Sus scrofa: one gene and its partners. The main gene of each other region encodes a partner of the protein of the gene in region 2 in a complex. Links are inferred from orthologs where the notes say so. Each region holds a gene or a part of one and is shown on either strand. Other genes may lie near its edges. The genes, in order: CDHR2, MYO7B and CDHR5.

What was found.
Region 1: MYO7B (region 2) and CDHR2 share a complex: the UniProt entries of both Homo sapiens proteins name them as parts of the IMAC/intermicrovillar adhesion complex. The link is inferred for Sus scrofa from reciprocal best matches to the Homo sapiens genes MYO7B and CDHR2.
Region 3: MYO7B (region 2) and CDHR5 share a complex: the UniProt entries of both Homo sapiens proteins name them as parts of the IMAC/intermicrovillar adhesion complex. The link is inferred for Sus scrofa from reciprocal best matches to the Homo sapiens genes MYO7B and CDHR5.

Annotation. Positions count from the first base shown.
Region 1 is NC_010444.4:81,358,785-81,362,982, forward strand, and holds the start of CDHR2 (cadherin-related family member 2), read right to left. Parts: upstream 2,815-4,198; 5' UTR 2,809-2,814; coding exon 2,707-2,808; intron 1-2,706. UniProt on the Homo sapiens protein: Intermicrovillar adhesion molecule that forms, via its extracellular domain, calcium-dependent heterophilic complexes with CDHR5 on adjacent microvilli. Thereby, controls the packing of microvilli at the apical membrane of epithelial cells.
Region 2 is NC_010457.5:59,716,044-59,719,629, reverse strand, and holds part of MYO7B (unconventional myosin-VIIb), read left to right. Parts: intron 1-873; coding exon 874-1,040; intron 1,041-2,019; coding exon 2,020-2,201; intron 2,202-3,029; coding exon 3,030-3,160; intron 3,161-3,383; coding exon 3,384-3,541; intron 3,542-3,586. UniProt on the Homo sapiens protein: Myosins are actin-based motor molecules with ATPase activity. Their highly divergent tails are presumed to bind to membranous compartments, which would be moved relative to actin filaments.
Region 3 is NC_010444.4:375,911-379,761, forward strand, and holds the end of CDHR5 (cadherin-related family member 5), read right to left. Parts: intron 3,720-3,851; coding exon 3,629-3,719; intron 3,470-3,628; coding exon 3,372-3,469; intron 3,267-3,371; coding exon 3,066-3,266; intron 2,979-3,065; coding exon 2,865-2,978; intron 2,789-2,864; coding exon 2,704-2,788; intron 2,619-2,703; coding exon 2,091-2,618; intron 1,561-2,090; coding exon 1,367-1,560; intron 1,085-1,366; coding exon 635-1,084; 3' UTR 539-634; downstream 1-538. UniProt on the Homo sapiens protein: Intermicrovillar adhesion molecule that forms, via its extracellular domain, calcium-dependent heterophilic complexes with CDHR2 on adjacent microvilli. Thereby, controls the packing of microvilli at the apical membrane of epithelial cells.

The DNA of each region.
Region 1 (4,198 bases), on a different chromosome or scaffold from region 2:
GCTACAGCTGCTGGCCTACACCATGGCCACAGCAATGCCAGGTCTGACCCGTGGCTGCAACCTACACCACAGTTCATGGTAACACTGGAGCCTTAACCCACTGAGCAGAGCCAGGGATCAAACCCGCATCTTACAGATACTATTCGATTTCATAAGCTGCTGAGCCACAGTGGGATCTCCAGCATGATGACTTTTATGTTTTGTACAAGGCACAAACAGTCTGTCTCCTGCCTCGGGCCCTCACCATCCCCCAGGGAAGGAAGAGAGAGCTGTCAATCCCTTTAGACTTGAGTCCCAGGGATGCTCAGGGCCTTGCCCAACAGCCCACACCAGACGGGGCAGAGCCGGGACGCCACCCGTCCACCTCCCTGTAAAGAACTCTTCCCTCGGCCTGGGTTTCATGCAATCTTGCCTCCTTGTCATGGAGACTTTTATAAACACACACTCATTTGATCATAATAAGGCCAAAGTTCTACAGTCCAGAGTGTCATCCTCTGGCTTCCGTCATCTGAGAAAAACGCACAGAGCCCATGTGAGGTGGCGAAGGCACAGGCTGAACCTGCCCCACCAGGGAGCCCTCCCACGTCACCAGGCTCAGCCACTCCCTGGCTCAAACCTCTGCCATGGCTTCCGCTGGCTGTGGAACATACATTCCATCTCTCCACCTGGCCAGCCAGGGCCTCCCAGGTGCTGGGTCTCTTCCCACCCAAGCCTTTCTTCCCCCCATGGCCTCAGGGCACACCCTGTTTTCCTGCCTCCATACATTTGCATATGCCCGCCCCTCTGTCCAGAGCACCTTCCCCAGTCTCCTGTATACATGCAAATTCTCTCTACCCTCCAAGGCCAGGTCAGGTGTGGAGCCAAGTTCACATGTTGGTGGCCCCTCCTCCAGCTCCTAAGCTCCCGGCACCCCAGCAGGGGCAGGGGACAGGGCAAGCACCAGTGAACAGGAAGTGAACCTGGAGTTCCCATGGGCTGGACTGGGGAGGCCTGGGAGTGAAGGAGACATGGCCTTCTCCAGCATCCCCCAGTCACCACATGGCTGAATCCTGCAGCTCTTCCTTCTTCCTCGCTGCCTCTCAGTTTGCCTTCTGAAAAATGGGACAATCTATCTACATTCTAGAAATTAGTTTCTTTTCCCCCAATCCCCCTTTCCAAGCTCCCTCCCTTTCCCTACCCTCAAAAAGTGCTTGGGGAAGGGTCAAAAAGGATGCTGAGATGAATTAGATTAGAGGGGCTCCAGCCCCCACCCCATGGGACACGCAGGCCCTTGGGAGTCTTGACAGTTGGGAAGAGGTGTACCTCACCCCCTACAGCAGCCACAGCCCACAGCTCCAAAACTTTCTAGAATTTGGAGGGACCGGGAATGGAGGGACCAGGAATGGGGACCTCAAGCCAGCCCAGGCAGCCCTCCTCACCCACAGGAACCCCACGGGCAGGCTCAGCCACCAGCTATCACCACCATCTCCAAATGGCCAGACTCTCACTTCCGCTTTCTTGTTTACTTCTCACAGTTGTTTCCCAGCTGTAGGAATGATCATTCTAGAGTCCAGGTGAGGAAACCGAGGCTCAGAAAGGGATGCCCCAGAGAAAAGGGCAGAGCGTTAGACCCAGACTGGCTCCCAAGCCCAGAGCCCCTGGGCAAGCCCTGGTCTGGGTTCTACTTGACTCCACCAGGGCCTAGGGGCCCCTCCAGCCCCAGCCCCAGGCTGCTTCCCTGGCAGGCAGATCCTGAATCAAATGGTCCTGGGTTCAAATTGCAGCATTTTACTTACTTGCTGTGCCACCCAGGCAAGCCCTTACCTTCTCTGGGCCTCAGTTTCCCGGCTGGGAAACAGGGTGCAGATAAGAGTCACACACTGGTCATGACCTGTTTCTATCAGTGTTCCCTGGGCCTCTGTTTTGTATCTAGTGCCCCAACCCAGCAGTATCTGCCTCAGGAAGAGGCCCAGGCCTGGCCCAGCTCTCAGCCGATTTTCCACTTGGTACCCCAAGGCAGAGACATGTCGGAGCCGGAGAATGTGCCAGAGCTGGGGGCTAGCCTGGGGTGAGTCCCAGCTGGAAATTTCCTAGTGCTGCCCGAGGAGGCACTGGACTCCATCGCTGACCACAGGCCCAACTGCTTCAGGGCGCTCCAGCGTCTTTCCTGTCCTGTCAATCATCCCCATTCTCCAGATGAGGAAACTGAGGCCTGAAAGAGTGATGGAGCCCACCCAAAGCCAGGATAGAGCTGGGGTCTGAACTCAAGCAGTTGGAACTGGAGCACAGTCCTTTCTCCTTGAGCTCTGGGGCCCCCAGGCTCAGCCAACCTGTCGTCACCCCCTCAGGCTTCCTGTGAAAGGAGCCAAGGCAGGTAAGCTCATTTCTCCAGGGGACCTGCCTCCCTGCTATTCCGGGAAGAATTCGTGGTGGGTCCAAACTGCCCAAAGCCTTAGAAGAGAAGCCTTGGGAAACTTGGGAATGGGTATCATTAGCCTCACACCACAGAGGAAACTGAGGCCTTTAGGCCAGTCTGGGACTCACTCCAGGTCCTCCCAGCCCAGCCCCAGTGCTCGCTCCCTCCATCCAGCGCTTCCACCCAACTGGCGAGGGACGGCCCTCCCTTCCGCCTGCTAAAGCTCGCCTTGGCCCCAGTGACCCCACTGGGTCCCGATTCCTGGCCAAGAGACCCCCGCCCCTGCTGCAGAAGAACTGTGCCATCCCTACCTGCGCCCCAGAAGGGGTCCCGGAGGCAGAGGATGGGCGCCGCCAGCACAGGTGGGCACTGTCTGGGCTGGCGGTGGTGCGGCCAGCAGACTTTGGCACCATCTCCGCCTCCCCTGAGCAATCATTAACCGTGACAGAGACCACACCTCCCAGGATGGGAACAACTCCTCAGGAGGCCCTGGCCACAGCTGGGGAGCAGGTAGGAGGGCCAGACCAACGCCACAGCCCCAGGCTTCCAGGTCTGGAGACCTAGACCACAGGCATCAGGGCCTGGCCAAGCTGGGCCCTGGGGACGTGGGAATCAGGCCCAGCCCTGCGGCGGGCAGGAGGCCAGGAGGGCAACATCTGGGCCCTCCATCCTCTCCCTGCTATAAGATTCCTCAATGGAAGAGGACCTGTGAGGCAGGTACAAAAGGAAACAGGTGAGGGAGGGAACTAGAAAAATAGGGTAACCCTCAAACATGAGGTCTTCACAGAGGAGTAAAGCCCTCAGAGGGTCTCTACCCTCCCCCGGGCTCATCCACCTCCAGGTTGGCCATGCTGCCTGCATCTGGACCATGGGGCGCTGGGTCCTCCCTAACCAGGGACCCACTAGGGTAGACAGGGAGACACCCAGCCCAAGATGGACACTGGGTGAGGCCTGGAGCAGCAAAAAGAGATCACGAGATGCAGATGCACTGGCAGGTCCAGGGAAATCCTGGGGGAGGATGTCCTTGTACCTCCTGAGAGGAGTGGAATCAGCTTTTTTTTTTTTTTTTTTTTTTTTTTTAGCTTTTTAGGGCCCCACTCATGCCGTATGGAAGTACTTGGGCTAGGGGTCAATCAAATTGGAGCTGTGGCTGCCGGCCTCCACCACAGCCACAGCAACACCAGATCTGAGCCATATCTGTGACCTACACTGCAGCTCACGGCAACGCCAGATCCTTAACCCACCGAGGGAGGCCAGGGATCAAAAACACATCCTCGGGAGTTCCCGTCGTGGCGCAGTGGTTAACGAATCTGACTAGGAACCATGAGGTTGCGGGTTTGATCCCTGCCCTTGCTCAGTGGGTCAGGGTTCCAGCGTTGCCGTGAGCTGTGGCGTAGGTTGCAGACGCGGCTCGGATCCTACGTTGCTGTGGCTCTGGCGTAGGCCGGCGGCTACAGCTCTGATTCGACCCCTAGCCTGGGAACCTCCATATGCCACAGGAGCGGCCCAAGAAATGGCAAAAAAGACAAAAAACAAACAAACAAAAAACACATCCTCATGGATACTAGTCAGGTTTTTAACCCATTGAGCCACAACAGGAGCTCCCAAGGAACCAGCATTTATTGAGCACCTACTGTTTGCTTTTAGCTGTGGTCTCTCTAATGCCTGACATCACCCAGGAAAGGCAGGTACCGTTGTGATCATGCCCACGCTACAAAGAGGGATCATAGGGTTCAGAGAGGGTGTGGCCATAAGCCAGAAATCAACACTGACCACAGCACCAATGCCCTGAGATGAGGGAAG
Region 2 (3,586 bases):
CAGCACTGCCCCATTAGGCACCATGTCTCTACATCACCTGTTGCCCTCTCAAGCTTCTCTTTAGACCCCAGCACCCCTGGAAAGAGGCATGTAACTTGCAGCCTTGGAGATGTACGTTCATGTACAGGCTCCTTCCCTTCTCATGGGCGGGAACTGCTCACAGGGAACCATCTGGAGAGGGAACAAGGGACGGGGCTATGCGTGTAGGGCACAGAGCAACCCTGTGCAGCCTTGCACCCTGGGTGGGGCCCTCCATGGTTCTCATCTACAGAGAAGTTCTCCATGCCCTTTGGGAAGGCCTGCCTGTGACATGCCAGAGCCCCCCTTGGTTAAAGCATACCCCAATGTGGCACGACCCCTGTGATCACATCAGAATGTACAGGGCACATGTAGCCACCTCTTACTGAGGCTGACCATGCTGGCCACTGTCCTCTATGCCAGTAAGGCCCACAGCTTCCCCCCCTGCCCTGAGTCTGCAGGTGAATACACTGAGGCATGCAAAGGCTCCACCAAGCTCACCCAGGCTGGTGCCCCATCTCAGCACCACCATTCTGGGCAGTGCCCCCATGGTGGCCCTGCACACTGGCCACCACATTGCCTGCCCAGAGCTGACCCCACAAGCCAGGGCTTGGCACTCCCACTGCCTTTAAAGTCCGTGGCACCCTGAGCTCTGGCTCACCTGCCTGCACACAGAGCAGGGCCCAGGGCTGAGGCAGACCCTCCCTCAGCCCCTGTCCCTGCCATGGCTCTGGACAAGCCTCTGGGTTTCCTCATCTGTAACTCAGGAGGGTCACCCGTCTGAGGCTGTCGAGGGGCTGACGCAGGGGGAGGGTGGAGGAGGACCCTGTTCATGCTGCACCCTCTTCCCCTCAGGGAGGCCCGAGGTGGGCAGAGGCTGGTGCTCTCCACACTGCACGAAGAGGAATACGAGTTCCAGTCCCCCAGCAGCGTGGCCATTGCTGAGCTGGTGGCCCTGTTTCTGGAGGGCTTGAAGGAGAGGTCCGTTTTCACCATGGCTCTGCAGGACAGGAAGGCCACAGGTGCCTGGCCAGGCGGGGAGGGGGCCTGGTGAAGGGTGGCTCATGGGCCAGTGGGAGGGCCGCTTGCTTGTGTGGAGTCCCAGTGCTCACATGGTAGGCAGGGCACATGGACTTGAGCAGAGAGAGCCCCAAATCCCTTGGGGGGGCAGCTGCAGGACTTCTGCAAAATGAGGGGATGCAGGGTGACCAAAGTGAAGTTCATAGAGGGCTGTGCTACTGCCAGAAGTGAAGGAAGGGCCAGCACCCTCCCTCTGCAGAGGGCAAACAGCCCAGGCCACCAGCCCGGGTCTTGCACACCATCCCCACAGCCACCCTGTTGTCCCAGTTTGCAGACAAAGCCTAGAGGCTCAGAGAAGGGATACAGCTTGGGGGTGGGGAGGGGGCGAGCCCTGGCAGACAATTTTTCAGCCACGGCTTCCCGGGTGCCCCTGGAAATCAGGCTCCAGAGGTAGGGGTTTGGGGATGGGGCTGAGCATAGGGTCTCAGCTGCAGTAAGGAGCAGAGTGTCAGCCCCACAGTGGCATCGCTGTTGCCCGTTCTAGCCTTACAACTGCCACGGAAGGGAGGGAGTGTTTTCTCCATTTTGCAGTGGAGGAAACAGACTCAGAGAGGTCCCCTAAACCCTGAGCAGGCGTGGTGACTGCCAGCTGGTATTATGCCCCCTCTGTCCATTCGCCTCCTGCCTCACAGGCCATGTCGTGGTCAGGCCTCTGAGCAGGTCTCCCAGCTCTGCCCACCCCAGGCTCTGTGCCTGTCCAGCCCCCTCCTGTGGCACCCAAGTGCCTGAGCTTGGGGAGTCCCAGCCCCACTCACACTCAGGGTAGCCTTGGGCCCACGGCTCTGCATCTCAGTCTCCCCACCCATCCCAAGAGACAGCCCCCAGAATGCCAGCTTGGCCTCTGGCCTCTGCTGAGCCCTTGGTAAGTGGCGGCTTCTCTGCCCCTGTGTGTGTATGTGTCTGTGTGACCCTGATTTGTAGATGACGTCACTTTCCTGCCCTTCAAGAAGGGGGACTTACTGATCCTGACAAAGAAGCAGGGGCTGCTGGCTTCTGAGGACTGGACCCTGGCCCAGAATGACAGGACAGGCAAGACGGGGCTGGTGCCCACAGCCTGCCTCTATGCCATCCCAACAGTCACCAAGCCCTCGGCACAGCTGCTGGTAACTCACATGCTCACCCGCCTTCAGCCAGGCACCATGGGCACCGGGGCAAGTGGCTGAGAAGCCTGGCCTGGGGTCCTAGCTCAGGGGCCTGGGCCCCACCTCACGGAGAGCCTGGGCATTACATCAGCTCTGCCAACCCCATCATCCCTCTGGGTCAACAGAGGGACCCAGATAGATGATGAGGCCTGGCACAGCACTTGGCACTTAATAGGTACACCATCAATGGACCTGCCTTTTATCCCTCTCACCAGGGAGTTCCCTGGGAATGACCCCATCCTTGCTTCAGCATCATTTAAATACTGATCTAAGGGGCCTCGAGTCTCTCTTCCCCTGACAACCATCCCAGCCCAGGCCCCAAGACCTGCCCTGCAGGGAGACACGACAGACAAGCAAGCCCTCCAACATGCATATATCAAGTGCCAGCTGTGTGTCCTGCGCCTGCAGCACAGGACAGAACACAGCAGTATCCCTGCCCTCAAAGAGCACTTGGATAAATGACAGCTTGATGTCAAGTGTGCCAAGTGCCACCGAGAAACAGCACTGTTGTTATGGGAGCAAATCAGAAGGTGGGCTTGCCCTGTCCAGGAAGGTGTCCCTGGGGGATTGACGTTTGTGCCCAGGCCTGAAGGAGATGGGGGTGCCAGGCTGGCAGGGCCAGGTAAGAGATGTCCCTGAGGAGAGGTGCCTGGTCCTGGGTCACACAGCAGGCAGCACATGTGGGGTGGCCCCCTCCCAGGTCTCTGAGGCAACCGGGTTTGGTGGAGCCCATGGGTGGGGCCTTGTGGGCGGGGCCTCTTGGACACCCACAGGCCCCTGCCCCTACAGAGCTTGCTCGCCATGTCACCTGAGAAGCGGAAGGTAGCAGCCCAGGAGGGGAGGTTGGCAGAGCCACCGCCAGAGGAGCAGCCTGAGGAGAAGCTGCACACCCTGGAGGAATTCTCCTACGAGTTTTTTAGGTACGCGCCCAGCCCACCTCCACGCCCCACCCCAACCAGTCCCTGGGTGCTCCATGGAGGCTGGGAGGCCATGAAGGCAGGTGCAGTGCCCACCTGGCCTTCTGGGGCAGGGAGGGAACCTGCACAGAGACCATCCCCAGAGCCCGGGGCCATCTCCCCACTGTGTGCACATGGCAGGCAATGGGGAGAGGACAGGCATAAGGAAGGCCTCCTTCCCTGATAGGGCCCCAGAGAAGGAGACACTCAGCAGAGCCATGCTCCCCATGGCCCGAACCCGGGGCCACCTGTGGGCCCACTCACCTGAGCCGCTGCGGCAGCCCCTGCTCAAGCGCGTCCATGCCAATGTTGAGCTGCGAGATGTCGCCTGTCAGATCTTCATCGATATCCTTTCCGTGCCAGCCCGCCCCAGCCCCATGCCCTGCCTGT
Region 3 (3,851 bases), on a different chromosome or scaffold from region 2:
CCCAGGCCGATGGCCTGCAGGCTACTGTCGCTCTGGGCCACCCATGGCCCTATCTCTGGTTGCAGTCCAGCCACCTGGACCAGGTGTCCCTGAGGGCACCCCAGGGTGTTTATTGCCCACACTGTGGCCACAGGAGCCCGAGGTGTGACCCCTGGAAGGTCCCCAGGACCGTGCTCCCCTAGATGAGTGCTCCTGGGAACAGCTCCTGGCTCCTCAGCCTCCCCCAGGCCAAGAATCTCCATGCTGGGTCGGTTGGGAGGGAGATCCCAGCGCACGCCCCCCCCCCCCCCAGGGCCGTGGTTAGACCAGGAGAGGAACTTTCTGGCCACCAGCTGGCACCAAGCCTGGGAAGCCCCACGAGCACAGCAGGTGGTTTACGGGAAATGGTGCCCAGGGTTCTGCACAGGGCGTGAGCCTGCCCAACCCTCTCTGCCCCTCGGGCCACCAGGAGGACTCCCGCGGGGCAGGGGCAGAGGGGCCACGTCCCCACCACCCGCCACCCGCAGCCCCCTGGGCAGACCCCACGTAGGCCCGCAGATCCCACAATGTCACTTTATTCTGGGCAATGGAGTTGGGGAGAGGGGCCGAGCCGATTGTCGGCGTCCGGACTCGCTGGGGCCGCGGGGAAGCAGCGCTAGAAGTAGATGGAGTCAGTGCCCGGGGCGTCCTGGCCACGGCCGCCCGGGCCCGCGTCTGCACCCTCGTCGCCACCGCCCTCGCTGCCCGAGTCGCCGGCGCCATCCACCTCCGAGCCTGGCGTGTTGAGGACCACCACGTCGGCCTCAGCCCCAATGTCCTCCCCGAACCACACAGCCTTGTAGCCGCCCTCAGGCCGCCGCTCCTTGGTCAGGATGGACCTCACGGCTGCCGGGCTGCCCCCATCCGGGGCTACCGCAGGGGACTCAGGGACACGGTGAGAGGGCGCGGGGCTGTGGGGCGAAGGCTCTTGGGGCTCAGCATCTGGGGGTGCGGGCTTTGGGGGTGCTGGCGGGGCAGGGCTGGGTGGGGGACTAGGGGCGGGCTCCCAGTTGGCCTCATCTTTGGTGAGGAAAGCCTTGTTGTCAAAGCCTTGGGGCTGGGGCTCCTGGGGGCAGGGGCGGGTGGGAGGCAGCCATCAGCCAGAGCCCAGCGGGCTCAGACCAGCCCGGCCGTCCCCCGAGGCGGTCCCTCGTCCCTCCCTCCGCTCTCTGCCTCTCTCTGCTCCCCCCCCACTGTTTGGGCCATGGTGTCTGCGCCCCATCACCTTCACCCGGTTTCCATCTGCTCCACCGACCCCTGGTCGCGCTGCCTCCCTCTCGGTCCCCCATGCCCTCCACGGCCCTCTGCTCTCTCTAGCCCTGTCCTGTCCCCACCCCCAGGGCCTCACCAGAGCTTTGCCGGAGCAGCACTTGAGTCGGTGGCCATAGTGCTTGTGGACAAGGACCGTGAGGGCGATCAGAGCCAGAAGGAGCAGCGCGCCCAGCACCCCGCCTAGCACCGCCATCTCCACAGTCGAGAAGCGCCTGTCCCCGTTTGAGATTGGCTTCGCTGCAGTGCTGCTTTCTTCGTTCACCGGCGTCCCTGCCGGCAATACCACCACCCGCTTACTGTCACACGCTCATGCCAACCTGTGGCAAGCGCCAGGCACCTGAGAGCAAGCCAGGCCTGGCCACCACCAGAGCTTGGGGAGTGGGCACCACTGACCCCCACTAAGGAGCTGTGTGTTCCCAGGGGGCCCCGATAGGCCAGGCTGCTGGGCGGGAGGGGAGAGGGATCAGTGCCCACTGGTTCCAGGTGGGAGGGAGGGGCTCCAAGGTCACAGGAAGGGGGCTAAGGGCCACATGGGGCCAGTGGAGTGAATGGCCCAGGGAACTGGGGACTTCACTGGGTCTCAAGTCCAGCCTCTGCCCCACCCTCCACACACCTTCCCCAGGTTCCCTCCTGGGCCCCCCGAGACCCGTCTCTCCCCGCGACCAGAGCGGACTCCCCTGGGGATTTGTGGTCAGCACGGTCATGATGGGCTGACCTGGGGTGGACCCTGCCTTACAGTGACCACCCAGAGTCATGAGTCAGAGAGCATGAGGGTGACTCTAGGGTAAGTGGGGTGCTACCTGAGGACCAGGGGTTCCTGCTGGACCCAGGGGATGTCGGCAGAGAGGTTCCTGGCTTTGAGGTCTGTGCTGAGCTCCCGCCGGGTGAGGCTGATGGGGGGGAGGGGCTGGTTCCCATACCGGGGGGCCCCCCAGGCATGGAGGAGGTAGGTGGCCTCAGAGTTGTGCCTGGAGAGGGGTGCGGGCCAGTGTCCCCCCCAGAGCTGGTCGTGGAGGACCCCTGCGAGGGCTCAGGGGACTGGGGGGCTTCCGCAGTGGTGCTGCTCGAGGGTCTGGTCGCTGAGCCCCCACTGGGTGAGGCTGATGGGGGAGGGGGGCTGGTTCCCGTACTGGGGGGCCCCTCAGGCACGGAGGTGGCAGGTGGCCTCAGAGTTGTTCCCAGGGAGGGGCGTGGGCCAGTGCCCCCCCCAGAGCTGGTCGTGGAGGACCCCTGCGAGGGCTCAGGGGGCCGGGGAGCTTCCGCAGTGGTGCTGCTCGAGGGTCTGGTCGTTCCTGCAGTCTCTGGGGGTGTGGGGGGGCCTGAGGGGCCTGGGGCCAGGGACAGGCTTGGGCTTGCCACTGCCCTTGGCAAGAAGCCCTGCCCGAGCCCACCTGGGGTCCCTGGGAGGCTCACCTGTGGGGCTGGGCTCCTGTTCCGAGACTTGAACCTCCAGGACCGTGGTCGCTGTGCCTGAGGTCACCGTGTTCGTGGCCTCCACCTGGGCGGGAAGGGGGCTCGTCCCTCCTGGGCTCCGACTTAACCCCCGCCCCTTGGAGATGCTGCCCGGCCCTCACCTCTGCGTAGAAGACCCCAGCCTGCATCAGCAGGGCGCTGGTCAGCACGGCCTCCCCGTCCATTCGGAAGTTGGAATTGTTGGTGATTCGGTACGTGATGGCCGAGTTGAGGTCCTGGACAGGGTCCAGTGAGTCCGGGGCCCAGGCTGCTCCCTCAGGCCCCTCCAACCCACCCCCAAGGGAGGCCCGGGCAGTGCCTACGGGGAACTCAGGGTCCTGGGCCCGGATCCTCAGAGGCTGGGGCGGGGCGGCTGCATCCTGGACTGCCACGCCCGGCCCGGAGCCCAGCGCCACGGTGCCGCGGTACAGGCTCTCCGGGAAGCGGGGCAGGCTCCCGTTGGCGTCCAGGGCCTCCACCGTGACCTGGGTCACCGAGTAGCGAGCGCCGTCCGCCTGCTCCCCCTGGGGGTTGCAGAGGCGGCCGTGACCACTGGGTCCTTGGAGGGTGAGCCCAGCAGCCTGGGGCCCAGGAAGGGCCTGGAGACCTGGCCCTGTGCGGGCACCCACCTTGACCATCAGAACGAAGGTCTGGGGGCTGGGGATGCTCTTGGCCATGGTGAGGTTGCCCGAGTCGGCACCGATGGAGAACGTGCCGTCCTCATGTCCTGGGGGGCGGGCGGGAGGGTTTGGTGCGGTCGCCGCCGGAGGCCTGAGGTCCCGTGGTCCCAGGTGGCAGCCCCCCCCGCCCCCCCCGGGGTTCCTCAGCGCAAGGTGGGAGTGGGGCGCGGTGTGGGGAGGGAAGCCGGGAGCTGGTGCGCCCTCACCCGTGACCATGCTGTAGATGATACGCTCGTCGATGCCCCGGTCTCCGTCCACGGCGTAGATGGGCCCCGGTCGCAGGGTGAGGGGGCCTGGCTGCAGGAACAGGGAGGGAGGGTGCCGTGGAGCCGGTGCCCTGGCCTTGCCTCAGCCCTCCTCCCCTCAAGGAGGGCTGGCGTCGCCCTCCGAAGGGCAGCCAGGCACACGCTCCAATCAGCACAATTATCC